6 linked regions of the Cricetulus griseus genome follow. The protein of the gene in region 6 interacts with the protein of the main gene of each other region in a pairwise test. Links are inferred from orthologs where the notes say so. Each region holds a gene or a part of one and is shown on either strand. Other genes may lie near its edges. The genes, in order: Ppp1r12c, Qrich1, Sf1, Dhx15, U2surp and Rbm17.

Region 1 (5,283 bases), on a different chromosome or scaffold from region 6:
TCACATCTTAAAAACCACAGGGTTATCCTTTTGGATTTATGGTCGTTATTCCCTAGACTCTGCCAGGGTCTGTAATTTATCTTTCATTCACAAATCCAAGGGTCACAGTTAGGCTGCCCTAACGACCCTTAAGCAGACGTGTGTTTTCTCTCTATAAACTTGACAGCTTTCTGTTTTACTTTGGTGTGTGTGTGTGAGTCTGTGTTCCTGTCTCAAAGTGTTTCTGTCCTTCTCAAATTGCATTTTTTGGGGGTGGGGGTGGGGGAAGATTCTTGAAAGATCAAGGTGTTCTTTTATCTGTTGGGTCTACTAACAAAACTTCCAAACCTATCGGAGCATCACATTTTGTGCTACCGATCCCAGAATTCCAGGAGAGCATTGATGCAGCCGGGAGAGCATCTCCTAGCGTCCCCCGCAGCCCCGAGTGGGCTAAGGAGAAGTGTGTGGTTCTTTGGGGACCCTTCTTCCCGGGTGCTCAAGGGATTACCGCTGGAGACCGGAGGCTTGTCTTCATCTGGAAACTGACTTTCCGGGGTACCTTGGCATCTCAGGCAGTTTTGGAAGTCTGGGGGCTGAACTCTTTAGGAGGCGTGGCCCTGGGACTACATTTCCCAGCTTGCCCCATGCTACCCGATACCCTTGGATTTTGCACGGGAACCTTAGTTACCCAGAGGAGTTTGGCGGCGATTGGTGTTTAATCTGGTTTCAGGACTCAGTTTCCCGTGGGCCTCTGGTCTCCCCGACGTCTTGGGGGGCCCATTCATTCATGCACTCATGCATTCATTCATTCATTCACAAATCCTTGTCCTTCTTCATCGGGTGTTGATGGGGAGGGAGGGGCAGATTACAAAACCAAAACAAGCCGGACCTGGTGGCGCCCCCTTCATACCAGGCAGAAGTGTGGGGGGAGGAGTCTCTATGAGTTCGAGGCCAGCCTGGTCTACGTAGCGAGTTTCAGGCCAGGCAGGGCTACATAGTGAGACGCTGTCTCAAAACAAAAACAAAAAAACAAAATACCCCCGCCCCCAAGAAAAAACCCAACCCAAACCAAACCAACAAAACCCAAACAAACGTCTGCAACCCCAGCAATTAGGAGACGGAGGCAGGAAGGTCGGGAGTTTAAAACAGACAATCGCAGTCACACAGCGAGCTCGAGGGCAAACCCATCTCACAGCAAAAACACAACTGAAAGTACGCGAGTCTTATTTCTGCGTCTCTCGGGTTCCGCTACACGCCATCATTTCCCACGCGCCATCCTTTGCGCCGCTTTACCAAAAAAAACTACACCTCCCAGCATCCCCCCGGGCATCCCGTCCCGCCTCTAAACTCAGATTCCCAGCATTCCCGGGGGGGGGGGCGTGTCCTGCTTTAGGCAATTGGTGCTACCCTGGCACTGCCTCTGTAGCCCAGGCTGACCTCGAACTCGAGAGAGCAGTTTGCCTCTAAGGTGCTGGGGGCTGTAGGCGCGCCTGCTGGCGGCTTCCGTGCCACCCCGACCGTTCCCTCAGCAGTTAGCGAGTCTGCTGAAAAAACCCTGCGGGCTTCTCAACGGAGGACTCCATTTCCCAGAGGGCTGTGGGGCAGCGTCGTGACGTCAACGCCCGTCCGTGGGGGGGAGGGGTGGGGCCCAGCCTGAGCCTCGGGGCGGTGCTTGTGGCGGGGCGGCGGCGGCGGCGGTTCCCGGCGGCCCCCGGGGCTGGCGGGCGGGCGGGCGAGCGAGCGAGCGGGCGGGTGGCGGCTGTTCGTCGCCGGCCGGCCTTCGGGCGGGCGCTCGCTCAGCTCGCTCGCTCGCTCGCTCGGTGGGTGAGCGGGCGAGCGGCCCGGTGTGGGGCGCGATGTCGGGCGAGGACGGCCCCGGGGCGTCGTCGTCGTCGTCGTCGTCGTCGTCTTCGGCGGCGGCGGCAGCCCGCGAGCGGCGGCAGGAGCAGCTGCGGCGGTGGGGGGCGCGGGCGGGGGCTGAGCCGGGCCCCGGGGAGCGTCGTGCTCGCACCGTGCGCTTCGAGCGCGCCGCCGAGTTCCTGGCGGCCTGTGCGGGCGGCGATCTGGATGAGGCTCGCCTGATGCTTCGCGCAGCTGACCCCGGGGATCCCGGGGACCCCGGGGGCCCCGATCCCGGCGCCAGCGGGGAATCGGACGCCGGCGTCCCGCCGCCTGCCCGAGCGGTGCTCGACTCCACCAACGCCGACGGCATCAGCGCCCTGCACCAGGTCAGCGGCCCCCGGGCATCCTCCCTCCCCGGGGCCCCCCGAGCCACCCCTCCTCCCTCCCCGCCTCCTGCCCTGCAGGGGCCGCCTCGCCCCTGTCATCCGCGCTGTCACCGCTCTCCCCGGCGGCGTCTTCCGCACACGGATGGCTTACACCCCGAGCCTTTCCAGGCTGGTGGCTGCCCTGGCTGTGCCGCAGGCTTCCAGGGCCCAGCTCGGACTTGACACCCCCCCCCCCACTCCCTCCTCCGAGGCTAGCCAGGCCCAGGCCCTTCAGTGTCACTTCTTTGGGGGGTCCACCTTGTTCCCTACCCCACTTCCTGTGACCCGTGCTGTCCGCTGTGGCCTCAGGAGGGTCCTTTGCCCCTCCAAGGCAGTGTACCCCTTTGTTCCCCTGGAGAAGAGGCGCTCCACCGTCTGTTGGGCCCCATCCCATAACCTTCCTCCCCTCCCCATGTCCTATTAATTCAATTCTCGGCTCATCCCCTTTTGGTGATCTTGCCACCCACCCCCACCCCCCATAGGTTTCTCCTCATCTCTCTCTCTCTCTCTCTCTCTCTCTCTCTCTCTCTCTCTCTGTCTCTCTTTCTCTGTGTCCACATTGATTTGCCTTTCTGGAAACTTCTAAGCATTCGGTCTTCCAAGCCCTATTTCTCGCTCCTCTGGTTTTGTTTTTGTTGTTGTTTTTTGTTTTTTCCCCTGTGTAGCCCAGGCCAACCTCAAATACAGGTCCTGTGTCTCTGACCCCCTCATTTGTGGGATTACAGGCATGCCCACTCCACCTACCACCCCATGGACTATATTTGGGCAGCATCCTGCTTTAAAAACTATGCCCTGTCTCTTAGATTTCCACCCTGTCACCTTCTAGAACCTACCCCACCAGGACCCTGGGCGACTCAGACACTGTGATTATCTTTTTCCAGTGATCTGTGCCCCGAGAGTGAGGACCATCTTGTATTGCCGGGATCCTTCTGGATTCGGGATGCTTTTATCTCCCCGTCATCCAAAAGCTGGCATCGTCAGGGACAAGATTAGTCACAGCAGAGCCCCCATCCCCGTTCTTCCTCCTCCTGGCCACAGTGTTGGTTCACTTTCAGTCTTTCATGGCAACTTCCATCTCCTGGGTTGCCCTCCTCTTGCTAGGATTCTCGTGGAGGTGGGGAATAAAGGTTCAGTGTTTCACTCATCCAGGCAGAGGAAAAACAGAATCCGTCTGTCCTGGGCTGGGCTGTCTTTTAGACAGAGTGCTTGCCTAAGTGCAGGAAGCCTCAGGTTCCAACCCCAATACCACAGAAATCAGGTGCTTGGAAAGTAGAGGCAGGAGGGTTGGAATTCAGTGTCACCTTCATCTACACAGTGACTTTGAGGCCATCTTGATAGCCCACATGAAACTCAGTTGCAAAATCTTGACCAAACAAAAAAAGTCCGTGCTGACTTTTTGTGTCAGTCTGCTTCTTGTGTCTTGTATCTTGAGTGTCTTTTCTCGGTGCGCCTTAGTTTTTTTACCTGTAGAATGGGACCAGTGGTCACCCCTGTCCCCAGAGGGACTCTATGGTGAGAGGTGTCCTGTGGAAAACTTCCTTTATGGGACCTGCATGAGCTGTGTGGGACATCGTCCTCTATATATAGCAGGGTCCTGTTTTCCCGAGGCCACACTCAGGGTGTCAGCGTCTGATCACCAAAGTCCCTGGCCCTCCCAAGCGTTCCCTCCCAACTGCATCCCCTTCCTCTGCATCTGCTGGAGGTCCCTAGAGCATCCTCTCTGACAGGAACCTGTGACCTCAGGCCTGACGTGTCAGCCTTCCAGGTGGGACTCTCCTCCCGCCATGCAGACACCTTGGTGACCTGACTCTTCAGGCCTTTGCAGGAGGCTTGGGAGACTGGAGATCAGATTCAGTGAGATCATTTGGCTTTCAGGGCCAGAACGCAGAGGGGGCTGGGGTTTGGAGTGGTGCGTACGTAGCATCACCTCCTAGTACCACTGCCCTGGCTTCAGCAGTGAAAACTCCTGGAACTAGTTTCAGTCCCAGGAAAGCAGGGGCATTCATTCACCCAGTCTGTGGTGATTTCTACACCTCAGACTTTTTAGTGTTTCCGGTTCTAGACCCTCCTTGAGGCATCAGCCTCCTGCAATGACATTTCCTAAGCCCCAGCCTCTGCCTTAGCACGGCAGGGACATTCCTTCCTCTTTCCCTTGTCCAGTAATTGCCTTGTCCAATAATGGCTATGAGTTGGGTCTGGAGTAGGTAGGGCTGGGAGTTAAGAGTCCTAGGTTTGAGCAGGGGAGAGATGGGGAGCCCTAGCACCTGGGCCTGAGGGAGGAGGGCCAAGTCTGGATCCCTGGGTCTAAGGAAAGAGGATTGGCTAGAGTTCTACATCTGAGGGAGGAGGATTCTTGGGTCCCCAGTGCCCAGCCTCAGGCATCTTTCACATGGATGCCCGTACCCGGCCAGGTCCTTGAAAGGGAAAGGCCCATCTGCCTCCTTGCCCCCCCTCCCATCACCATGACAACAGGGTGGAAATAAACTGAGCCCAGAGTGAAGCCCAGAGTTCATCCCGTTCCCAGGGCACGTGCCCCCCCCCCCAGCCTAAATTTCCATGACTTCATGCACTTGGCCCTCGTAGCTTCCTTCCCTCTTTCTCCAGATGGTCGCGCTTGTAGAAGGGGGTTAATTTTCATGAGGACCAGGAGTCCGGACCTAACCCCCTCCCTAGACTCAGTGGTTCCAGTGTCCAAGCAGTGTCATCAGGGATTGAGACCAGCTCTCTTGTGGCCCTGGGTGCTGTGCTGGCTAGGGTGAGGCCTTCCTCTCCTGAGCTGTTGGTTCGAAGGGTGAGGAGGTGGGGGATTAGTGTGGTGTGGGGTGTTTAGAAAAGAAGTTCTGAGGAGACCTGTGCACGGTAGGCCCTCAGTGACCCAGAGCTTGGTCTGCTTGGATCCCTGGACACCGGGAACATAGCCTACTCATCCCTTTTGGGAACTGTGCCCCAAGCCCTCAACTCTGGGATGTGCGTGTGTCTCTTTGTGGTGATCTCTCTTTTTCCTGTGTTGTGGATGGAACCCAGGGCTAGGTGAGCG
Region 2 (4,576 bases), on a different chromosome or scaffold from region 6:
GTACACAGTCTTCTGCCTGCACTCCAGCAGAGGGCACCAGATCTCATTCAAGGTTGTCGGGAATTGAACTCAGGACCTCTGGAAGAACAGTCAGTGCTCTTAACCGTTGAGCCATCTTTCTGTCCCGATTTTTGGTGTTTATAATGGGAGATAAAAAGGTGTACACCTTTAATCCTAACACTCCGGGAGGCACAGGCATGTGGATCACTGAGTTCAAGGGCAGCCTAGTCTACCAAGTGAGTTCCAGGACAGGCTCTAAAACAATACAGAGAAACTCTGTCTCAAAATAAATAAATAAAATAAAATAAAAATAAAAAACATGCCCCTGGCTCTTTGTTCTTGCTAGATGGTATACATAACTAACTCTGTACGATACCTAGTAGTGGAAATAAAACATTAATAGGGCCAAGTGGCCAGCTTAAGTTACATAGTGAGACCCTGTCTCAAAAAGCAAAGAAAGACATGTCAATAAGTATCTGCTCCTTACTCCCCTCCCCTTGTTTGGTAGTCTTTTTTGTGATGATAAGAGAAGCAGAGTCTCACTCTGTAGACCTGACTGGCCTGTAATTTCCTATGTAGACTACATTGGTCTGGCTCCCAAGTTCTGAGACTAAGAAAGGTATGTGCCACCAGGCATGGCAGTGAGTGACTTTGCTTGCCACATGACTGTCCTAATTCTTGTTGTAGAAGGGATGTGATTGGCCTGGTACTGGATGGAAAATGTCATTTCAGCCTGTTCTGTCTAGTACTTAAAGAATGTGTTTTGAGTTTTGTTTTAGTGTGATAGTTTGGTTTAAGAAATGTGGAAGGGAGCTGAAGAGATGGCTCAGTGGTTAAGAGCACTGGCTGTTCTTCCAGAGATCCTGAGTTCAATTTCTAGCACCTACATGGTGGCTCACAGCCATCTGTAATGAGATCTGGCCTGCAGGGATACATGCAGGCAGAACACTATATACATAAAACATAAATAAAACTTAAGGGAAAAGAAAAGAAATGCTGAAGAAAGGCATATTACACTGGCTTATACTTGTAATCCCAGCACAGTGGTTAAGAGCACTGGCTGTTCTTCCAGAGATCCTGAGTTCAATTTCTAGCACCTACATGGTGGCTCACAGCCATCTGTAATGAGATCTGGCCTGCAGGGATACATGCAGGCAGAACACTATATACATAAAACATAAATAAAACTTAAGGGAAAAGAAAAGAAATGCTGAAGAAAGGCATATTACACTGGCTTATACTTGTAATCCCAGCACTCAGAAAGCTGGAGGAGGAAGACTACCTTAAATTCAAAACCAGCCCAGCTACATAGAATTGTAGATGTGTCTATACATTATCTTGTATGTATACTACTGATAATAATGAGAAATCTAAACATTAAAAACAATACCGCCAGGCGTTGGTGGCACATGGCTTTAATCCCAGCACTCGGGAGGCAGAGGCAGGTGGATCTCTGTGAGTTCGAGACCAGCCTGGTCTACAAGAGCTAGTTCCAAGACAGCCTCCAAAGCAATACAGAGAAACCCTGTCTCGAAAAACCAAAAATAAAAAAATAAAATAAAAACAAAAATACCTCACAGAGGCCAGGCATAGCACTCTCAAGGCAGATGTAGGTGAATCTCTCTGTGGGTTTAAGGCCAACCAAAACCAAAGGTTCATGGTGAGATCTTACCTTTTTTTTTTTTTGAGTTTTCAAGACAGGGTTTCTCTGTAGCTTTTTAGACCAGGCTAATTTTTTGTTTTGTTTTTTGAGACAGGGTTTCTCTGTAACAGCCCTAGCTGTCCTGGAATTAGCTCTGTAGAGCAGGTTGTCCTCGGACTCACAGAGATCCACCTGCTTCTGCTTCCCAAGTGCTAGAACTAAAGGCGTTTGCCTCCACTGCCTGGTATAAGATCCTATCTTGTAAACAAACAAAAAACCCTACAGTTTATTTTGGGGGTAGGGAAAGATGGTATAATAAAACATTTATTTGGAATATACACACATTCCATTTTCACTGTCATTGTGTCTGTGCATTTCAAGACACATAAACAGTGGGGTTTGCCTGGCATTGGTGACACATGCTTTTAAGCCCAGAACTCGGGAGGCAGAGACAGGCGGAACTCTGTGGTTTCAAGGTCAATCTGGTATTCAAAGAGTTCCAGGACAATCTCTAAACCTTCAGAGAAACTCTTGTCTGGAAAAAACAAAAAACAGTAGAATGGTTGGTAAGATGGCTCAACAGATAAAGCCATCTATTGCAAACCCGATGACCTGAGTTTGATCCCTGAGATCCACATGGTGGAGAGAACCAACTCCAGTGGGTTATCCTCTGACCTCTACACGCATGCCTTGGCATGTGCATGCTCCCCTCCCAATAAATCAATGTTAAAAAAAAATCAGCAATGTTAACAATAGCAAAATGTTGACTGTCCATTTTAATTCTAGGAACCCTAAGGACTCTGCAATATGAATAATTCTCTGGAGAACACCATCTCGTTTGAAGAGTACATCCGAGTGAAGGCGAGGTCTGTCCCGCAACACAGGATGAAGGAATTTCTGGACTCACTGGCTTCTAAGGGACCAGAAGCTCTTCAGGAGTTCCAGCAGACTGCTACCACCACCATGGTGTACCAACAGGGTGGGAACTGCATTTACACAGACAGTACTGAAGTAGCTGGGTCTTTGCTTGAACTTGCTTGTCCAGTCACAACCAGTGTTCAGCCACAAACTCAGCAAGAGCAGCAGATCCAGGTTCAGCAGCCACAACAGGTTCAGGTAAGAGAAAATATTTAGTTGAAGCCTGTTAGTAAACTTTTCTCTCACAGGTTTTGGTAATTACAATATACCTATACAGATATTAGAAATGTTGGAAGTTATTTAACCAAATGGGGAATTCTCCCCCCTCCCCCCAGGGTTTCTCTTTGTAGCTTTGGAGGCTGTCCTGGAACTAGCTCTGTAGACAGGCTGGCCTCAAACTCACAGAGATCCGCCTGCTTCTGCCTCCCAAGTGCTGAAATTAAAGGTGTGTACCACTGCCCAATGGGGAGAATCATTCATATTTAATGTGGATTGATGATATCTTTGGTCACAGTAAACTATAAAAACTGCACAGTAAACTAAAAACTGTAGGTACTTGCTGTTTGCTTTAGAGAGCACAAACTACAGAAAGTAGAGGCTAGCAATGAATTTGGATGTGACAACTTCTGTGATTGGGTCTTTCTTTCTTTCTGTGGACAGTCTGAGCAAAAAGCACAGAAAAGCTAGTTTTGGCTCATTGTGGAAAGTGGCATTTGGAACTTGCTTTAAAATTAAAACTGATATGGTGATCTTAATTTAGCTTATACATCTCAAATAACCTATAGATTTCTAGGTTGGCATTTTTTAAATATTTATTTATTATGTATACAATATTCTGCTTCCACTAGAAGAGGGCACCAGATCAGATGGTTGTGAGCCACCATGTGGTTGCTGGGAATTGAACTCAGGACCTATGGAAGAGCAGTCAGTGCTCTTAACCTCTGAGCCATCTCTCCAGCCCCTAGGTTGGCATTTTCTACCTGTTAGCCTCAGATAATGCTAACATTAAGCTTACTCAGAATGGAGGAATGAGCTGGGCGTTGGTGGCGCACGCCTTTAGTCCCAGCACTTGTAGGCAGAGGCAGGTGGATCTCTGTGAGTTTGAGACCAGCCTGGTCTACAAGAGCTAGTTCCAGGACAGGCTCCAAAGCCACAGAGAAACCCTGTCTCAAAAAAAAAAAAAAAAAAAAAAAAAAAAAAAAAAAAAAAAACAGAATGGAGGAATGAATACAATGGCTGATGAGACAAAGTTTTTCTTTTTGGGGATCTCTAGATGAAACAGTAGTCTCCTCCGAGTAGTTTTCTTGGCATTGTATTGTGGCAGGGTTTCATTTTACTTGGGATGCATGAGTGTGAGGGTGTCAGATCTCCTGGAACTGGAATTATAGACGGTTGTGAGCCCCCATGTGGTGCTGGGAGTTGAACTTGTGTCCCCTGGAAGAATAGTCAGTGCTCTTAACTGCCTAACCATCTCTTCAGCTCCACCCCCCCCCTTTTTTTTTTTCTTTCACTTTTTAATTTTAGAGAAACTAAGTTTCCTGAGGAAGCCAAGCTGGATGGGTCTGCTTACTTCAGGTTCCTGAGTAGCTAGCATTACAGATCTGAGACAAAATACAGCTTTAGGGACTGGGTACCTACTACTTCCGGATGTGTGCCATGTGTTTATGCACTCCTCTCCCCCACATCATATACTCAGGATAATAATTTTATTTATTTTTTTGTTGTTTTTTGAGACAGTGTTTCTCCGTGTAACAATCCAACTGTCCTGGCACTCGCTCTGTAGACCAGGCTGGCTTTGAACTCAGAGATCTGCCTGCCTCTACCTCCCAAGTGCTGGGTGCACACCACCACACATGACGATAATAATATTTTTTAATTTAAATAACTTTTCACTTATTTTACATACCGACCACAATTTCCCCTCCCGTCCTCACCACCCAGTCACCCCCCCATAATTTTTTTAAAATTAATATTGTATATAAATACTTGAAGACATATGTTTTGTTTTTGTTTTGT
Region 3 (5,142 bases), about 180 Mb from region 6:
TCTTGGGCTGTGATACCATTAGGGGCATTTTATAAGGTTGGAAGGTCCAACACTGGTCTAATGACACCTAAGAGTTGGATAAGAGTAAACAGCAACAGTGAGAAAAAGTAGTATTAGTAGTACTGTGACAAGAAGACAATTCCAACGCCTTAAAATTCTCAGCAATCTAAAAACCAGGAAATGAAGACCCTCCAGATTTAGACCACATTGGCCCTGAAGCTATGTTTGTGAAGGTCACAGCTTCATGGACCCACTAGGTTTCTGCCCAAAGAGGATGTTTATTTGGTTAGTTGAAAATGTTTATCAAGTGTACTTTTTAAGACAGCTGGACAGACATATATAATTTGTATGAATGACCTTGGTTTCTAAGTAATTTTGAGGTTTAATTTCAATTCAACTTAAATTTTTAAAATCCTGCCACCACCTCATTTCAAATCAAACAATAAACCCTTCCCAGTAGAGTTTTTTCGTGGTTTTACAAGAGCCTTCATTATTTATTTATTTATTTATTTATTTATTTTTGAGACAGGGTTTCTCTGTAGTTTTGGAGCCTGTCCTGGAACTTGCTCAGTAGATCAGGCTGGCCTTGAACTCACAGAGACCCTCCTGTCTCTGCCTGCTGAGTGCTGGGCTTAAAGGCGTGTACCACCAACGGGCTAAGAGCTTTTATTTTTAAGACAGCTCTCTAAAGACCAAACAAGATGCTGAAGGGAAGGATTAAATTCAACAAAACAGTAAAAATGGGTGAGCTGTAAATACTTTCAGAGCCACTTTTTGTTTGAACTGTTTTGTAACCTATAAAAAAAAGCAAAACCACATTTTAGGGAAAGGGAACCATGACATTATGATGAAAGGCCATGTTACAAAAAAGGCACCTGGTTTACAAATACCTGCAGTGTTCTCCACTGGGGCCTGTCCAGAGAGGCAGATAAGCATGCACCTCATCAATGAGCAAGAGCAGCTGAGAAGTGGGCTGCTTAGTAAGGCCTATGTGCTGCTGAGAGCAGGCCCAAACAAGTTACAAATCCAGGACTGGCCATGCAAATCACAGTTTACACCAAAGCTATAAAAAGCACACCTGATCACACCTTGTCCCAAAACTAAAACCTCAGACTTTCAATAGATTTGTCCTCAGAATAAGCAGTCACAATTTGAAGATGCACCTGGATGCAGAACGTGTATTTACCTATATAAGCTCTTTCTTGTTCCCGAGTCAGTCCAGGGGGGATAACCGTGGGCATGCCTGGAATCACTGTCTTTTGTTCCATTGTGTCTTGGTTCCACCGGCTCCTCTTCCTCTTCTTACTTGGGAAGTCTAAAGACAGACAGAGCCCATCAGGAGGAAACACGAACCATGAGAGTGACTACCAACAGGCAGTTCATGACAATTAAGACTAAAACAGAAATCCACCTAAAATTTAAAAAGAAAGGAGCTTCAGAGGTCAGAGAGGAATACAAGCAGACATAAAGGTATCTGGTCCTGTCAGAGAAGTTAATGAACACTTCACATTTATATTCTTTTTTCCTGGGAAAACTTGCTAGAGAATGTAAATACAAGGAACAAATTTTCTCTTGTGGTGCTGGGAACACCCAGGTCGTGCAAATGCTAGGCAAAGGCTCTACACTACTGAAGCACACCTATTCTGTCTGTCTCCCTGTCTCTGCTGGGATTAAAGGTATGAGCCACTGCACCCTTGCTTCCAATTCTTAATAGTTCTAAGGAGATGTACATCAATTCTGGAAGCTCTAAACGGCAGTAAAGTTGGACAATCAGATCTACAAAGCAGCAGATTAGCTCCAAAGGAAAACAACACCCAAAGCTCTTCCTACATATCACTAAGTGAAACGTCCCATCCTTCAGTAAGACCATGCTCACACGGCAAGACCAGCATTCAGTTTTTCTGACCAGTGGACACCTGTCATCAGAACTCTGATGTATCCAATTCTTCCCTACATTTACCACACAAGGTTTTCTACTTCTCAGGATTACAGGCCAGGGGAAAAGTCTTTTAAATCAGCACGGGGAAAGATGGTCACTCAAAACCTTCTAGAAAACAAAAAGAGATAAACAGCCTTAAAAAGAAAAATCGAACCCAAGCATCACCACAAGTCTTCCAAACTGGCCTTATTGCAAAAAAAAAGAGACACTCTTGACACGGGACTGGTCTCCCTTTCAGGTTCCTAAAACCGTAAGGGGGACCCCTCACACCACATCGTTACGTGGACTTTCTTACACTCTCCTGTATACACCAGCTCAAGGGGCAACAGGTGGCCTCTTCAAGCCCTCAGAATTGCGCCACAAAGCCTGAACGCCTCATTGCGTCTGCGCAATGGACGCTTCCTCCCGCCCGTCTTCCTCTCAGAGGGCGCATGCGCACTCGGAGCTTCCCAAACCAGGCCGCGCGTACCCTGGGGCGCGTCCGCCCGGGCCTCCCGTGCACGCGCTCGCGCTCGCGTCCTTGCCGCGTGAAACCTCGGTCGCGTGCCCCTCCGCCGGCCGGCCGGCCGCTCCGGTCCGGTCCGCGCGGCGCTCCTCGCGCTCTATCGGCCCGACTCACCGCCACCACCGCCGCCGCCGCCGCCGCCGGACGGGCCCGGCTGCTGGTCCTGGCACGGAGGCGACCCTCGCTGGAAGAGCGGCGGCGCGGGGGCGGCCGCAGTGGAGGGTTCCAGGCCGGGGGCGGCGGCGACGCCACCAAGAAGGCCGCCGTCAGGGCCCCCAGCGATCCCACCGGTGGCAGCGGCCCAGGCGCCAGCGGGCCCGGCTCGAAGCCGCCTTTGGGCCCAGAAAGCGGGGGGAAGGCCTGAAAGGCCCAGCTTACCCAGCGGCGTGGCGTTCGCTCCGGTCGCCATGGCGCCCCAGGGGACCGGCACCAGCGGTTCCTCGTCCTCGGCGGCGGCTTCTCCTTCGCGAACCTTCCGGGGGGGGAGGGGACCCGACTACGCTGCCGAGGAGCGCGGGGAGCCAGTCCTCTCACGCGGCGGGCGGCGGCGGCGCCAGACGCACAAAGAGGGAGGAGAGAGGATGCCGCGGGGGCGGTCTGAGGGCGGCGGGACCGGGGCCTGGATTGGGCCGGCCCAAGGTGAGGTCGGAGGCAGCGGCCTCCGATTGGTGGAGCGCTAGTCCTTTTCGATACGTGTCGGGATTGGCCGAACCGTTAGGCCAGGCGACGAAATGGCGGCGGGGCCGGGTGAGCTGGGAGGTGTCGCAGCGCGCACCTCATTTGTTACTGCGCGGACTGAGCGCCCAGGCCGGAGGGGCGGAGATTAAGGTGGGGCAAAGTCTATGACGTAGAGCGAACGGCTAGCTCATTGGCTGGAGTTGATGGAGTCCCGCTCCTCGGCGTCGTAATGCCTCGGGATTGGCTGAAACGACTCCGCTCCCCGGGGACGAGTTGCTCGGGAATCGAGAAAGCCCGGAGGAGAAGCCCGAAGGAAGATCGGGGGAGGCGGGGAGCAGGAGGTACGCATGCGTGGTGAGGCCCGGCGGCCTCTGTCCCTCCACCAGCGGGGCGGGAGCGGAAGCTGTAAGTGACGTTAGTCATTGTGCCTGAGGTAACCAGGAACCGCCGCGGGCAATGGGCGGGCTCGAGTGAATGAACCGGATACGTCGGCGACGCAGGTAGAGAACTTCCTGTTTTCTTTAGAAAAATAAAGTTACGGAATAGGGTAGTTTTTTGTTTGTGGCTTAATTTTTGGTTTGGGTCCTTTTGTTATTTTTGTTTGTTTTGTTTTTCGAGACGTTTCTCTGCGTAGCCTTGGCTGTCCTGCCTCTGCCACCGCGAGTGCCGGGCGTTGGTGGTGCACGCCTTTTATCCCAGCACTCTGTTGACAGAGGCAGGCGGATCTCTAAGAAATTAATACCTAAAGTGATAGAACAAACCATATAACCTCAGATGAAAGACAAGGTGGCCACCTGAGTATTTGAGAGGTTGAGACAGGAGAGCTGCCATGATTTGGGGCCTATCCTGGGATAGAGTATATCTGTGCCAAAAAAAAAAAAAAAAAAAAACAGGCTTAGTGCCATATGCCTGCAATCTTAGCTCTTGCAAAGAAAAATCAGGAGCTCACAGTCATTCTTAGAAACAATTCAAAAGTTTTTTCCATCGTAATCAGTGTGTTGGGAATTTGACTAAGTTACCTTAAAAGTATATGACCATGGAAATGCCTTCTCATAAAGTAAACATAAGAGCAATGAAACAACTTTTTTGCAGGAAAACCCAGTAACACAACAGAATATAATTGGGAATAGGATAATCACAAAGCTGATTACTTCAACCCAGTAGAGAGAAAGATGTTTAATAAATGATGTAGAAGGGCTGGAGAGATGGCTCAGCAGTTAAGAACACTGGCTGCTCTTCCAAAGAACTGGGTTCAATTCCCAGCACCCACATGACAGTTCACAACCACCTGTAACTTCAGCCCCAGGGGATCCAAAGCCCTCTTCTGGCCCCACAGGGACTGCATGCATGTGGTACACAGACTTACATGCAGACAAAATACCCATGTACATTAGACAAAATTTTAAAAATGATGTAGAAAAAATCTGAAAACACGTAGACAATTTAGAAGATGTGGGGTAATCTAGGAATCTAGACAAGAAACTCAAGACAAGAAACTCAAGACAAGAAACTCAAGTATGCTGTGTGGTACAAGTCAACAGGTCGTGGCAGATTAGGGAGGAAATTGCCATGCAACAGAGAAGGAGCAAATGTCTGGCCTGAGAATACACATCAGTGGTAGAGCTTTTGCATATCACATGCAACTTCCTTGATTCTACCTCTAGAACTGCAAAAATAGAAGAAAAACCAAATGTCTGTAATACCCACAGAAGCCTTCAAGACTAAGTAGAGGAATGGCTAGAGAGATGGCTCAGTAAAGAACGCTGGCTACTCTTCTAGAGGACCTGATATCCACATATCAACTAACAAACATGTCTCTCCTGTTCAAGGGATCGAGACTCCCTCTTCTGAACACCTCAGGCACTGCTTGCTCACAGGTGGTGCACAAACATAACATGCAGGCAAAACACCCATACACATCAAAAATTTTAAAAACTAAAACTGGGCCAGGCATTGGTGGCACACGCCTTTAATCCCAGCACTCAGAAGGCAGTGACAGGTGGATCACTGTGAGTTCGAG
Region 4 (4,576 bases), on a different chromosome or scaffold from region 6:
TGCTGGAATCAAAAGGTATGAGCTAGCATTACTGGAAACTTCAATTTTTGACACTTTTCTTTCTTTCTTTCTTTCTTTTTTTTTTTTTTTTTTTTTTTGGTTTTTTGAGACAGGGTTTCTTTGTGGCTTTGGAGGTTTTCCTGGGAACTAGCTCTTGTAGCGCAGGCTGGTCTCTAACTGACAGAGATCCACCTGCCTCTGCCTCCCGAGTGCTGGGATTAAAGGCATGCGCCACCAATGCCCAGCTATATTTCAAATATTTTAACAAAGAAAACAACCCCAATGTTTCAGATCTCTCCACTCAAGCACTAGAAAACAAAGTTTGTACTCCTAATTTCTACTGTCCCAGAGTTTTCCTGCTATACTCAGAATAACAAGATGAGAAGATAGCAGTTATTTTCCTGTATAGACTAAGAAATCAACCCTCTTTACTAAAATAACACCCTAAGTCACTAAAAAGCGTTCGCCAAAGAACTCTTCTTCAGGATATTCTACACGACATACAATTGCAAATGAACAGAGAAATAGAAAATGACTATCATGACCAAACCAGCACATTTAGTTAAATTTAAACACTAGCATAACATATTTACCATAGTATTTAACAACTCACCTGTGTTGTCTTACCAGACCCAGTCTCACCAACCAGTACAAATGACTGATGTCTAACAAGAATATCTGTAAACCTATCCTTGTATTCCCAAACAGGGAGCTGAAGCCGTTTCTTTAGAATATCATAATATCGAGGCGTATGGGGCAGGTTAGTAAACGGATTAATGCACTGTGGAAGTGATGTGTGTCCTGCGTGCCCAGTGTGTGTTGAATGGGCAGAATGTGTAGAATGTGTTGAATGAGCCGAGTGGGTTGAGTGAGCTGAATGAGAAGCTTTTAGAGGAGGCAATCCAGCACTGATAAGCATAGCGTTGGTGGAAGCTCTCAATTCTTTTTCCTTTTCTTTCTCCCTCTCCCGTTCTCTATCTCCTCTATCGCGTTCTCGGTCACGATCTTTAGATCGGTCTTCTCTATCCCGGTCTCTATCCCGGTCTTTCCTGGAAATATAAAAATTTAAAAATCAGAGTGATTATGTGTATAACATCTCAACGAATTATTAGAAATGATCGGATTTTTCATGCACCACCAAGAAAATTCTTTACTAGACAAGGTCTCTAGTTCCATCCTTCTAAAACCTTAATAACTGATAGGAAGACCATCAAAATGGCTCAGCAGATAAAGGTTTGAGCCTAAGCCTGACAGTCTGAATTCAATACCCAGAACCCACATGGTGATAGGAGAGGACCAACTCTTCTCAGCTCTCAACACAAGATGTAATATAATAAAACTTAAAAAAAAAAAAAAAAAAAACCAAGTCAGGCACTCAGGAGGCAGAGGCAGGTGGATCGTTCACTATAAATCTATACACACCTTGATGAATCAAAATGAAATGTAGTCAAATTAAAAACAAAGTTCACAGACTACAGAACTGTTGTAAAAATTAAGTAATTTCTACTGAACTAAGGATAATTTTAGTCATTTCTGGTATCTACAACAGATAATCCTAATGGAGTAAATTCAACTCATATATATATCACAAAATGCCAAGAGGTTTTCTGACCTGGACTAAAACAATGAGGCAATGTGGAGACAACAGAAACAAACCCCTAAATCTGTCATTGCTCTTTACTTACAACACATAAAGTTCATTTCCTGTGACACAAGTATCTGTACAGTACAGCAGGAAAGCGCATTCACTCTCCACAGTCTTTTAGAGGAGAAACAGTAAAAACCTTAAGCAGAATACAACTAAAATGCTTACTAAACAGCACAGAATGAGAATCGTTCAGCCACAGCACTGGTAAGTTGATAATTGTATCTGATTCTGTTCATAAAATATGGGACTCTATTCCATACAAACTTGCAGGGAAGAAAAGCCCTATTAGAATGTGACTTCTCCCATCCTAACTACCCACTACAGATTTATGAAAAATACAACATAAAGCTGAAATAAATCCTCACATGCCACCCAAAACCCAAAGAAATCAAAACTATATAGGTAAAAGATTACTTAAGAACTACAAAACAGCTGGGCATTGGTGGCGCACGCCTTTAATCCCAGCACTTGGGAGGCAGGCAGATCTCTGTTGAGTTCGAGGCCAGCCTGGTCTCCAGAGTTGAGTGCCAGGATAAGCTCCAAAGCTACACAGAGAAATCCTGTCTTGAAAAACAAAAACAAACAAACAAACAAAAAAGAAATACAAAACAACAACAACCAGGCCATAGTGGTACACGCCTTTAATCCAAGCACTTGAAGGCAGAGGAAGTTCTGAGTTCAAGGCCAGCCTGACCTACAAAGAGAATTCCTAGACAGCTAGGACTGTTACACAGATGAACCTGCCTAGAGACAGTCCCCCAAAGGAGGGAGAGAGGAAGGGATATAAGTCTTAAAATTTCAAATTTGAGCCTTATCTTTGAAATATATCACATTCATTGCTACTTTTGCTTCTCATTTAAGTGCTCTTTAACTGGGCATTGATATCAAATCAAAAATGTAAGTTTATAAAGCAAAGAAAGACTCAAACAGCTCAAGGACTGGATACCTTTGCAGGCCTAGTGATTTGGTGGGTAAAAGCACTTGCTGTGAAAGCAAGAAAACCTGAGTTCAAATCTGTTAAATTAGGCATGGCCTTGTGGTGCCTGTAACCCAGCATTGGTGAGGGTGGATCTTCAGAGTTTGCAGGCCAGCCTAGCTGAAAAAAAAAAAAAACGGTCAGCTTCAGGAAAAAAAAAAAAAAAAAAAAAAAAAAAAAAAAACAGCTTCACAATCAGCAGTGTCTCAACTAACTGGGCAATGTATTCAACAGGGGCAGGCATGAGCACACGCATGCACATATACACACACAGAAAAGTTTAAAAAAGGGTTTACATTTGTAGCTATCATTTTGTTATAAAGTACAAAAAGAAACTGAACAAGCATCTTCCATATTTAAGAGTATGGAATCAGTTAAGATACAAACCTAACCTTTCCAAAACTACAAACCTGGGTGAAGAGATACTACACAAAGCAATCCACATAATGTTATGTGAAAAATTAACACCTACACTAACACACACCTTTTCCAGGACACATTTCACCTACAGCTTCATTACTATATCAGAGAAAGAAATAGAATACAAAACACAAGGATTCGATGACGAATAAAGTGAGAATTTAACATCACCCCCAAAAAAGAGGGGCAAGGCAACCAGTTGAAAAACCACAGAAAAGGCCTAAAACTCAGCAAAGTGATGAAGAAAACATTTGGGATGCAGAAAACTACTTCAATGGTCTAGTTTTGCAGTTCACACTAGCTACTCTGAATGACAAAGGTAAGTTTTTAAGTCCCTCTCCAAGCATAGGTAGACTTGTCCATATGCAGCTTCTTGTTTAAAAAGGGCACTTACAAAAAGTTTTTCTCATAAGAATTTGCTAGTTAAGCATAACACTTTTAATTTTAAAGAAAATAAAAACAATACTGGTGTGGAAGTACACATCTTTAACCACAAAACTTGGGAGACAGAGGCAGCAGGCTGATCTCTGGTCTACACAGTTGAGTTTCTAGGATAACCAGAGCGATGTAGAGAAACATTGTCTCAGAAGAAAGACAAAGCAAGCTCTAAATAGTTCTTTAGTCAACACTATGACATTTATCAAGAACAGTCAGTGTTTCCTTGCTCACATGCAAGTTTTGTCTATTGATACAGAACTAATAACATTAAATAAGCTAATACTGGGATAATGTTCTCTGGCCTATCTGAACTGTACCAACGAATACTGGTTACTGCTGATGGCTCAGTTTAAATTGTACATGGAATAGTAACAGGCACAAGTATATTGCCAATAAAGATGTAAACTAGTCATCTACATCAGAGTATTTTATATAAACACTGCTTTTTCTGACAATCTCACTTTCAGAACTTCTAGGCACGTGTTAATATATACATATACACACAGATGCTAATGTTTTTCATCTACAAAATAACAAAACCCTGTGAAGTTACTTAACATTATTGAGCAAGACAGGAGCTGCACCTATGCAACCAATGGGAAGGCTAACAGTGTGGTTATGAGTGAAAAAAATCATAGCATACATCCACACAAATCCTAAGAGCTCACTGGTATTACAGTTCACATTTATGAATAAGCTCTCCAAAGAAAGAAATGAAGATCTGGAGGAATTTCCTGCTTTCTTTTCCTTTATACCTTTATATAAGAACATTTCTTGTCCACTGCACCTAATTATTTAATCTTAGCTACTACACAGGGTTGCACCGAAACACACTTCTACATACAAAGCACCTACAACAGTATCAGGTCCTCTTCTGTAATTAAAAGTTCTGATCAGAAATATTAAAAAAAAACTGTTAGAATGAAAATGTCCTTTTCTTCAGATTCTTCCAGAGCTGTTGAGATGCTCAGCCAGTAAAGCCACTTGCCACCAAGACTGAAACACTAAGTTGACCCCTAAGGCCCATCTGGTGGAAGGTGGTTAACGGAGTACCATGTTTTCTTCTGAAAGCTACACACAAGCAGTGGCATGAA
Region 5 (4,576 bases), on a different chromosome or scaffold from region 6:
TGCCCAGGAGCCTACAGGTACAGAATGGGTGGCAGGAAACTGCCTAGTAAAGTGACTGTATAGCTAGCTGGGCTAGCCTATGGAATCCTATACCATTCTCTGTTGTGTACCATTGGAGTTTTCTCTAATAGATCATAGTTAGGGTTGATGTTATTGTTGCTCTGTGGTGTTAAATCAGAATGTTTAAAATAGATTAATTGTAATTATAGTTTCTATAAAATGTATAGTCAGTCAAGAAATAATTTTTTTCATTCAGGAAAGTGTATACTGCACATCGTTAAGAGAAGTTGGTCTCCTTTGTATCTCTTTAGATTTGTATTCTGTGATGTATTTGGGAAAAAGATAAATTACATTATTTAAAATGGTACTAGTTGTCTGTACCCTTTTGAGTGTTTTTGGTGATGATATCAGGTTAGTAGTGTTTATGGAAGTTTACATGTTGAAATGCTCTGTGCATCTCAGTGGCAACAAACTAAAAACTAGGTCAGTTACTATTTTAGCCCCCTATATTCCATGAGTGTTAATTGGAGACAAGATTCTGTTTCTGCCAGGCCCATGCTGAAGGTCAAGCTATGCCTCTTCACCTAAGTGTTGTCTATGTGGTTTTTTTTTTTTTTTTTTTTGCTGCATAAATACAGTTGAGTAGTTGTTAAAAGGACTGTATATAACCCGCAAGTGTGTTTGGTCTGGCTCTGTAAAAAGTTTGCCTGTGTCTAGTTATAAGATTTTCTTACTTTTTAAAAATGAGAAGCAGCAGTTAGATAACGTTTTTGATGCATGCCAATCATAAATATCTTTAGCCACTACTTTATTCTACCATCAATAGAAATTAATTTTTTTTAAAGTTTTATTATATATAGAGAGTTCTGCATGCATGCCTGGAGGAGGGCATCAGATCTCATTATGGATGGTTATGAGCCACCATATGGTTGCTGGGAATTGAGATCAGAACCTCTGGAAGAGCAGCCAGTGCTCTTAAGCACTGAACTATCTCTCCAGCCCCCTAGAAATTAGACTTTTATTGAAAAATATTCGTTAGGACAACTAGGGATAAATAAGCAGTTATTTTTCTGGTTTATATAAATATGTTACTATATAATCAGTTTGTAAGTTAGGATTACATTTCCTTTTATAATTACTTTGGTGAGAACTCCATTTAGTGAACCTGCTATATACAGGCAGAATTGCTTTTATAACTAGGTTCTTGCAATCTGATGAAGGTCAGTGTGTTGCTTGCTAGCTTTTCCTGATTCATTTCTTCCTTCCTTCCCTCCCCTCCCCTCCTCATTTTGATGTGGTAGAGATGAAGGGATAGGAGCTCTTAGACTGAATTCCTGATTTTCTCTGGTAAACCATGGTCATTTCTGAGTCTGGTTTTCTTGTCTAGATTGAGAGTGATAATAATGTAAAAGATCACAGGATGATATGGTATATGGAAAATTGTAACTGTCTTGTTTGGGCTGTGATTAGCAGCCCTCAGTAAATACTTTGCTGCTGCACAAGAAGGGTGATGATGATTTTGTATATAAAAAATGGCTTATTGCCTGAAAGGGTATTTTTGAAAATGATATCTTACCTTAATTACTATTTTAAAAATTTCTAAATGAGAAAATATGATTAGATACATAAGATAGTCTAGATGACATTTTTAAGAAACAACTCAATATTTTTTTTAAAAAATAAAACAGGAAAAGGAGAAAGAATTAGAAAGAGAACGTGAAAGAGACAAAAAAGATAAAGAAAAATTGGAATCTCGATCCAAAGACAAGAAGGAGAAAGATGAATGTACTCCAACAAGAAAAGAAAGGTATGGCGTGTCATAGTTAATCTGCTTTGTTTCAAGATTTGAAGTGCTGTTTGGTTTTAAACTATTTCTGTCATCAGTAGCAACAAACCAGAAGTGGATTTCACGATAAACATGTTTGGCTTCTGCCTCTAGGAAGCAGAGTTAGCTGATAGGCTCGGTTAGTTGCCACTTGGCCTAACTAATTAGGACATCATGTCTTTACTTGGGTTCATATGGTATTCTTAGCCTTAATTCACTGCAGGAATTCAATTACCCTATCGAGTATCAACCCTATGTCTTAAATAACAACTTGCTATATCTGCCTGTCGACTCTACTCTAAGCATCCTTTTTCCGTCTTGAAGGAGATTGTGTGTACAAGCTACAGTGACTTGCTAATCATGTTAAGTCCTTTGTTCCAACTTTTTAAGTTTCATATTTTTAATGTTTTAGTTAGTGTGTGAATGTTATTTTGTGTGAGGGTATGTATGTACCTGCCATTGTGCTCTTGTGGAGGTCAGAAGGCAACTGTGAGAGTTGGTTCTATCTTTCTGCTATGTAGATTCCAAAGGATAAAGTCAGGTTAAGTGTTCTTACTTGCTGAGCCACCTCACTGGACTGTGTTTCTTACTTTTATAGTTTTTAAATGTCTAATGTAGTGAAGCAGTTACTTCAGTGAACAGAATCGAAGTTTTCCACATTATAAACACCAAGTGGTTGCAAATGAGAAACCTGGCTTAATCACTCTGTATATTTATAAATAGCAAAATTATACAGATTGGTTAACAAAGAAATGGCACTTTTTTGTCTTTTATTATTTTGATATAATTTCAGTTTTATAGAAGTTGTAAATAATCCCCATGTACTTTTCATCCAATTGCTCCACCTCCTAAAGTGCTTCTACTTTTCTTTTTAGTTCTTCCCTTTCTACTTCACCTCCAACTTGTTAACTATAATTGGTCAGTATAGAGCCCAGTTTCCTGAGTCATGTAATTTCACTAAAAGTGCCACACTAAGAAGTTAGCAGAGGCAGGCGGATCTCTGTGAATTCGAGGCCAGCCTGGTCTCCTGAGCAAGTTCCAGGACAGCCTCCAAAGCTACAGAGAAACCCTGTCTGGAAAAACCAAAAGGAAAAAAAATAAAAAGAAGTTAGCATTGAAAAAATAAACCTCCATTGTAACCCAATTCAGAATGTCAGGTTTTCTTTGTCTTCCTAGTAATCTCTTAACAGCAAAAGAAAATTGAATTTCATTGAATTCACTTATTTTTTTGGGCATGCTGTCTTAAGATTTACTTGATGAAATAAGGGACATCGAATGTCATTGGGAAGTAGCATTAGTATGAATAGTGAGAGTTAAGTTAGTGTAAGCTAGGAGTGATTAGGAGCAAATTGAGTAGACATTAAAAATGAATACTTAAGTGTTTTTTTTTTTTTTTGTCACTTACAGAGTTTTATGTGGTTTGTTTTGTAGGAAAAGGCGACACAGTACTTCTCCCAGCCCATCTCGGAGTAGCAGTGGTAGGCGAGTGAAATCCCCATCACCAAAATCAGAACGGTCAGAACGGTCAGAAAGATCTCATAAAGAAAGCTCACGGTCCAGGTCATCTCACAAAGATTCTCCTAGAGATGCTAGCAAGAAAGCCAAAAGGTAAATGCAAGTCACCCTTTTGTTATCGTCACCAGTTAACTAAGAGTTCTACAAGCTTTGGAAATAATGTGGTTGGCTTTTTTTTTTTTTTAAAGATTTCAGAAAAACAGAGAAATGTACTTTTATTTTGGGTTATCTCTCATTCCCATTCCAGTTTTTGTCATGTTTCAAGTATAGAATAATTCCAGCAAGTTAAAGACTGGCCAAGGATTTTCACATGTCCACTGTTGGGAATGGGGTGCTCCTTTTTCATTCTAGTCTTTATTTCTGTATAATAAATAGCCTTAGATTTTGTCAAAGTTGATGAAAAGGAATAATCTACCCCACAGAAGTAAGTGTGTGGGTAAGGAAATAGAATACTATTTGGATCAGCTCTTCAGTATGCACTTTGATATTTTGTTTTATTTAAGCCTTTTAATTCCACAAAAGTGGAATTAAATAAATGTATTTGATGTCACAGAGGGAAATTTTCTTGAGCTGCACCTGAATTTATGTGCTAATACTTCGTGATTGTAACCATTTGCTGTGAAGTCTTTCTCCTGTTTAAGACCATACATACTCATATGTGTGTGGAGGTGTATATGTATGTGTATTTTTTTTGTTTGGGAAACTTTCATGAACAGAACTTAGCAAAATTACTGGCGCCAGATGGGGTGCAGATGACATTAATCCTGCTACCTGGGAGGCAGAGGCCAGCTAGGCCTACAAAAAACAAAAAATTGTGTTGTTTTAAATGATGACCTGGAGTAGGAGTTTTTTCCCCCTCAAAATTACAGAGTGTACAGCTTTTGTGCTTTTAAAATTGTGTGAATGTCTTAATTGTCACCTTGAACTTTATCTTGTGGATTACAATTTCAAATTTTGGGGGTATCAGTTACCTGGGGAACTTAATAAAAATGCACATTCTCTATAAAGCAATAGTAAAACTCAGAAATTTCTTTTTAAACAAATATCCTTCTGATCACACATAAATGGTAAGTACAAAATAAATCTGTGTGAGTAAATTTGAGTTTGCTGTTTTATTAGTGACTTACATGCCCACTTGAAGCTCATTTTAAGCCAGGTAAGAGTGTAAGCAGTTTTGGTAGCCAAATGCTTTGACATTGTTCTTGTTTGTTTATTTCTTCAGGTCGCCATCAGGTT
Region 6 (5,318 bases):
CCATCTCCCTTCTGGCCCCAAATGTCCCTTGGTCTTGCTTTCTTCTGCAGCATCTGACATGCTAATATTTTGTTTCAGATTAATTAATGTCCTATTTTTGATTAATGCTACCATTTACTTCCTGCTGTTCCCACCCGGGGCTGCTGAACACTGCTAGGAAAATTTACGGGACTTGTATGTGCTGGGGTGCTCTTGTACACTTGCTCTGCAGCTCACCTCTCTCAAACTGTCCCTTATTTAAAAAAAAAAAAAAAAAACAAAAAACAAAACAAACAAAAAAAAAACCTCTCATTTAAAAATCCTGTGTTTACCAAGCGGTGGTGGTGCATGTCTTTAATCTCCAGCATTCAGGAGGCAGAGGCAGGCTGATCTCTGTGAGTTCAAGGCCAACCTGGTCTACAAAGTAAATTCCAGGACAGCCAGGGCTACACAGAGAAACACCAAAACAAAGCAAGCAAGCAAACAAAGTCAAAACAGACAAACAAAACAGATGGAAGCCTATATAGTCATTTGATTTTAAAATCTTAATTTAAATTATTTTATTTTATTTTATGAGTATAGGTGTTTGGTCTGCATGCCACCTGTGTGCCTATTGCTCCAATCCCAGGATTCCATGGGACTGGAGTTACAGATGGTGGTGAGCTGTACTGGCTAGTGAACCAAGGTCCCCTGGAAGAACAGCCAGAGCTCATAACTTCTCTCTTTCTCCAGCCCCACAAAAACAAAATCTCACCCATCCTGGCGGGTGGGGGGGGGGTTGGGGAGAAGAGAAAGGTAGAGCAGGGAGGGAGAGAGGAAGAAAACACTAATTCCTCTTTCCTATTTATTATTTCCTGTGGTGTTTGCTGTAAATAATGAGGTTATGCTATTTAGTGCATAGATTCCCCCCCCCCCTTTTTTTTCTTCATTAACAACCGTGCTTTAGCCGGGTGGTGGTGGCTTACGCCTTTAATCTCAGCACTTGGGAGGCAGAGGCAGGCGGATCTCTGTGAGTTCGAGACCAGCCTGGTCTACAAGAGCTAGTTCCAGGACAGCCTCCAAAGCCACAGAGAAACCCTGTCTGGAAAAACCAAAAAAAAAAAAAAAAAAAAAAAAAAAAAAACCTGTGCTTTAAAATTTTCATTTAAAACTTTTGTCTAGAAATCAACATGCATACGGTGTTGTTATCTGATTTCCTTATAATTATCAGCCATAAAGTGGTACATCTTTTCCAATTACGAAACTTCAGGATCTATTTGAGCAGTTTCTTGTATATCAGATTTTAGCTGACTATAATGTTTGTATGTCCATTTGTGCTGAGGTCCATCTAATCCTCCACAGTTTCATCAGTATCAAATAATTTTCACACCCAACTAAAGATGTGGGAAACACGCTTACACAAAGCCCGGGTTTCTCGGACCTTCCTTTTGTCTTTCACTTCATTTTTTTTTTAAAGAGCGTTTACATTCTTCTCTGAAGCCCTAATCTCAGAGTGTTTTACAGTGCCATTCTGCAGCATATCGCCTACGGAGATTCATTCCCAGATTTTAGTATATAAAGGAAAGGTTGGGAATGAATAACTAGAGCCTAATAGGAGATTCTCAACCCTCTTACTCTAAAGTCACGAACCGCACGGAATTTCAAAACCGTGCCCCAATAGCGACATCTCATGGTGAAATTAGAGGCGGGCAGAGGGTAGGTGCAGTGTAGTCCTCCCGTCGGCAGGGTGCAGTGCGAGCCGGGCAGTGCCGCTTTGCTTCCTCGAGTCAGGCGCAGGCGCAGACGTGTGCTCCCGGCAGCCTCCGCTCTCTCACCCCGCGCGGTGGGATCACCCTGCGGAATCGGCCGAGGGTGGGCACCGCGGCGGGCTCCGGCGGTCGGCGGGCTTCCGCTCAGGGCGGCTGGGCTCCGCGCTGCCGCCGCCGTGGCCCATGGGCAGAATCGTCTCAGAAGGCCGGGTGAGTAGCGCCGTGGCGTCCTGGCCAGGCGGTCTGATCCGGAACGGAGACTTGTGTGAGCGCGCCTCCACGGATGAGCTGGACGCGAGGCCGCGGCTCTAGGCCGCGCCGTGAGGGGCACGGGGATGCGGGCGCGACACCCCGAGCTGCCTAGGGGTTCCTAGCCCTCCGCTGCGGACCCCTTCTGCCTGCCGTGCTCGGCCAGACAACCCACATCTCCTCCATCTGTCTTGATCGCCTTGACACTAAGAACGTACCTTCTCTTCATGCCCTGTGTCCGGGACCCAAGTTGTTGGGTCGCTAGACCCCAGTAACCCGGAGTGCGTCCGGCCTCAGGAGTGGAGGGGCAACCCTTCCCCCCAACTTGTTTCCTTCCACAGCCCCAGAAATAAGGGTTGAAGACGGTGTCTCACCTAGACTGGTAAAGGCAGTTGTAAATCCGGCATCCTCAGCTCTGTATTAAGGGGAGTTTTAGCGTTCGTGTCCATCCCCTAGTTTTTGAGCTTAATTTGCTTGGGCTAGGTGTGCTGTGAATGGGTGCTACAAGTTCAGTGACCTACTTCTCCAAGAGTTACAGCTCTTAAGAAACAGGCTTGAAAACCCAGGCCTGGGTTGATTTTTAAGAACTGGAGTACAATCTGAAAAGACCTGGAAGAGGAGCTGATGTTTATTGACTTTTAGAGGGGTTTTATTAGAAGTGCAGGAGTGGAAAGGCAGCAACAGCGAAAACACCGTATTCTGCAGCTTAAGGCAGTTAAGAATGATTCAGAGGGCTGAGCACCCTTTGTTAAGTCAGGAAGGGTGCACCGTTGACATTAAATTCTCCTTGGTAAGGATACATGAGGATGGCAAGTATGATTTCCTAAGATTCTGCTTGTGATCAGAACGATGAGGACTGTCTCCCTGCGACAGGTGGCTCTTTTGAATCATGCCATACGGAACACACATACTGGGATGAGCTGTAAGCATTTCGGGATAACGATTTATACTTAAATATGAATAATCTAGCCCGGGGCGATGGCACATGCCTCGAATTCCAGTACTTGGGAGGTGAGGGCAGGAAGTTCAGGGGTTCAAGGACAAGCCACCTGTAGAAATCAGAGGACAACCTACAGGAATCCCTTTTCTCCTTCTACCATGTGGGTCCTTATTGACCCCTTATTTGTTACTACATTTCACACATCCCTCCAGCAGGGAACAATTTACTTCAGTAGTAATTCTACGAGTCTTTGAGAACAGTAGTGAAGCCTGCTGTCCTGTGTGCTTATGTTACCAATGTCTCCAGTTAGTTTTTGATAGGCTCTGGCCTATGGTATTTTGGTAATTTTGATGGGAAATTTAAATTGTCAAAGATGGCGTAGTTGCAGACAGAGGGGACTAAATAATTTTGTAAAAAGTTATCCTTAAGTCCTGTATAAGATATGATTGTGTCCTACAAGAGCTAGTTCCTGAACAGCCTCCAAAGTCACAGAGAAACCCTGTCAAAAAACCAAAAACCAAAAAAAAAAAGTGATTGTGTCTCATGTTGCCAGGGGGTAGGCTTGGGATGGTTATCAATTTGACTGCCTCTGGAGTTAACTGAAACCCAAATGGCTGGGCACACCCAGCTAAAGGGACTTTCTTTTCCCTTAATAAAGTAATTTGAAGTGGAAAGATCCACTTCTAATCTGGATCTTTGAGGTGGGGAGACACACCTTTAATCCAGGTCTTTTGAGGTAGGAAGATCTACTTTAATCTGCTGGCAGCCTCTATGTGGAAAAAAGAAGTTGCCCTGCCTGTTGGCCCTTGCTTTCATTAGCAAGTGTATTCCTTCACTGACATTAGAGCCTACAATGTATACTGAAGACCAGCGAAGACATTCAGCTTTGTGGACAACTACTGAACTCTGAATTCTTGAACCTTCGGTTTGTAGGCAGCCATTGTTGGATTAGCTAGATCACACCTATAAGCTATTCTATCATTCTATGTCTGTTATATAAATTCATGTATGTGAATATATTCATTCTGTAAGTTCTGTTCCTCTAGAGTCTAGAGAACCCCAACAAATACAATAAAGTAGGCTGACCAAAGGGTACATTGCCATAAAAAATGAACCGGGAAATGGCTTAGTAAATTGCTTTTGGGTAAACATGGGGCCCTAAATTGAGATCCCCAACACCCATGTAAAAATTTCTCCACAGGAGTACATGCCTATGATCCCAGCTCTGAGGAAGCCAAGACATGAGGTCCCCAGGGGCATACTAGGTAGCTTGTCTTGCCGTGTCAGTGAGTTTCCAGTTTGATAAGAGACCCTGTCTCAGAAAAATAAGGTAGATGGAAAGTGACTGTGGAAGACTCTCAGTGTCCATCTCTGTTCTCCGAATGAATATGTATACATGCATCACACACACACACACACACACACACACACACACACAGTAACCGAGCACAGTGGTGAAGGGTTGTAATCTCAGATGCTCATAGTTTGTGTGCATTTGACACACATGAATTCACTTAACACATTTTACATCATAAAGGCCAATTTCTGTTTGTATTTACATTTGAGTCTTGATTCTTATAGTATTATGTCTAAATATTAGAAAATGCTGCTTTTTATTAGCTAGTATCAGACTTCATGAACTGAATGTGTTATGTAAGTGATACCAAACCATTTTAAGTTTGGATCTTGACAGTCTCCTTAATGTATTTGTTAACTTCACTCAGTGTTTTGCTGTGTTTGTAGGGAGATTAAATGGCTAACCTGTGGTATATTCATAAATGCTTAAAATAGCCAAAATGTAAATATACATGCCTTAAAAGGTTCTTTGCAGGCAAATTATTTAAGATAAAAATCAATGGAGTGATAGAACAGCATTCAGGGAAAATCACAGGAATGGCTTGAGGAGCCTAATGATTTCCTGACCAGGTGCTGCCTTCTGTTTTAGTTGGTGAATTCACAGGAGCTTGTATTAGTCGTAATTGAAGTAATCAGTATTTATGCAAGCATTCTTTTACCATGATAGTCCAGTTCTGTAAACATAAAGGTCATTGGAAACCAGAAAGTCAAAAGAATATTCTTCATATCTACTGAGATGTAAAGATGTAATTTCATGAACTGTTACAGAAAACTATCAAATGCTCGAGAGATGACAATGGTTTCTAATACTTAAAGCATTTTTTAAGGCAAAGGAGAGCTAGTCGGATCACATGGAATTGTCAACAGACCATCTTCAGTTTAAAGATGTGAAATGAAATCCCAGTATCACAAAACTTCATTAGTTCAGCAATGAAGATTGCATTAGCCTTGAGTGGTGGCACATGCCTTTTATGCCACCACTTGGGAAGCAGAGGATCGATGAGTTTGAGGCCAGCCTGGTCTGTGAAGCGAGTGCCAGACACTGT

The links.
Region 1: the proteins of Rbm17 (region 6) and Ppp1r12c interact in binary tests that used the Homo sapiens proteins (3 or more experiments, as listed by UniProt). The two-hybrid records come from large-scale screens. The link is inferred for Cricetulus griseus from reciprocal best matches to the Homo sapiens genes RBM17 and PPP1R12C.
Region 2: the proteins of Rbm17 (region 6) and Qrich1 interact in binary tests that used the Homo sapiens proteins (3 or more experiments, as listed by UniProt). The two-hybrid records come from large-scale screens. The link is inferred for Cricetulus griseus from reciprocal best matches to the Homo sapiens genes RBM17 and QRICH1.
Region 3: the proteins of Rbm17 (region 6) and Sf1 interact in binary tests that used the Homo sapiens proteins (3 or more experiments, as listed by UniProt). The link is inferred for Cricetulus griseus from reciprocal best matches to the Homo sapiens genes RBM17 and SF1.
Region 4: the proteins of Rbm17 (region 6) and Dhx15 interact in binary tests that used the Homo sapiens proteins (3 or more experiments, as listed by UniProt). The link is inferred for Cricetulus griseus from reciprocal best matches to the Homo sapiens genes RBM17 and DHX15.
Region 5: the proteins of Rbm17 (region 6) and U2surp interact in binary tests that used the Homo sapiens proteins (3 or more experiments, as listed by UniProt). The link is inferred for Cricetulus griseus from reciprocal best matches to the Homo sapiens genes RBM17 and U2SURP.

Annotation. Positions count from the first base shown.
Region 1 is NC_048602.1:23,185,288-23,190,570, reverse strand, and holds the start of Ppp1r12c (protein phosphatase 1 regulatory subunit 12C), read left to right. Parts: upstream 1-1,747; 5' UTR 1,748-1,835; coding exon 1,836-2,207; intron 2,208-5,283. UniProt on the Homo sapiens protein: Regulates myosin phosphatase activity.
Region 2 is NC_048597.1:216,711,014-216,715,589, forward strand, and holds part of Qrich1 (glutamine-rich protein 1), read left to right. Parts: intron 1-2,428; 5' UTR 2,429-2,449; coding exon 2,450-2,758; intron 2,759-4,576. UniProt on the Homo sapiens protein: Transcriptional regulator that acts as a mediator of the integrated stress response (ISR) through transcriptional control of protein homeostasis under conditions of ER stress.
Region 3 is NC_048596.1:52,990,973-52,996,114, forward strand, and holds the start of Sf1 (splicing factor 1), read right to left. Parts: upstream 3,174-5,142; 5' UTR 2,854-3,173; coding exon 2,823-2,853; intron 1,321-2,822; exon of another isoform or gene 1,316-1,320; coding exon 1,187-1,315; intron 1-1,186. UniProt on the Homo sapiens protein: Necessary for the ATP-dependent first step of spliceosome assembly. Binds to the intron branch point sequence (BPS) 5'-UACUAAC-3' of the pre-mRNA. May act as transcription repressor.
Region 4 is NW_023276807.1:120,435,793-120,440,368, forward strand, and holds part of Dhx15 (pre-mRNA-splicing factor ATP-dependent RNA helicase DHX15), read right to left. Parts: intron 1,050-4,576; coding exon 614-1,049; intron 1-613.
Region 5 is NC_048597.1:204,089,683-204,094,258, reverse strand, and holds part of U2surp (U2 snRNP-associated SURP motif-containing protein), read left to right. Parts: intron 1-1,688; coding exon 1,689-1,807; intron 1,808-3,256; coding exon 3,257-3,433; intron 3,434-4,562; coding exon 4,563-4,576.
Region 6 is NC_048596.1:228,375,241-228,380,558, reverse strand, and holds the start of Rbm17 (splicing factor 45), read left to right. Parts: upstream 1-1,771; 5' UTR 1,772-1,937; intron 1,938-5,318. UniProt on the Homo sapiens protein: Splice factor that binds to the single-stranded 3'AG at the exon/intron border and promotes its utilization in the second catalytic step. Involved in the regulation of alternative splicing and the utilization of cryptic splice sites.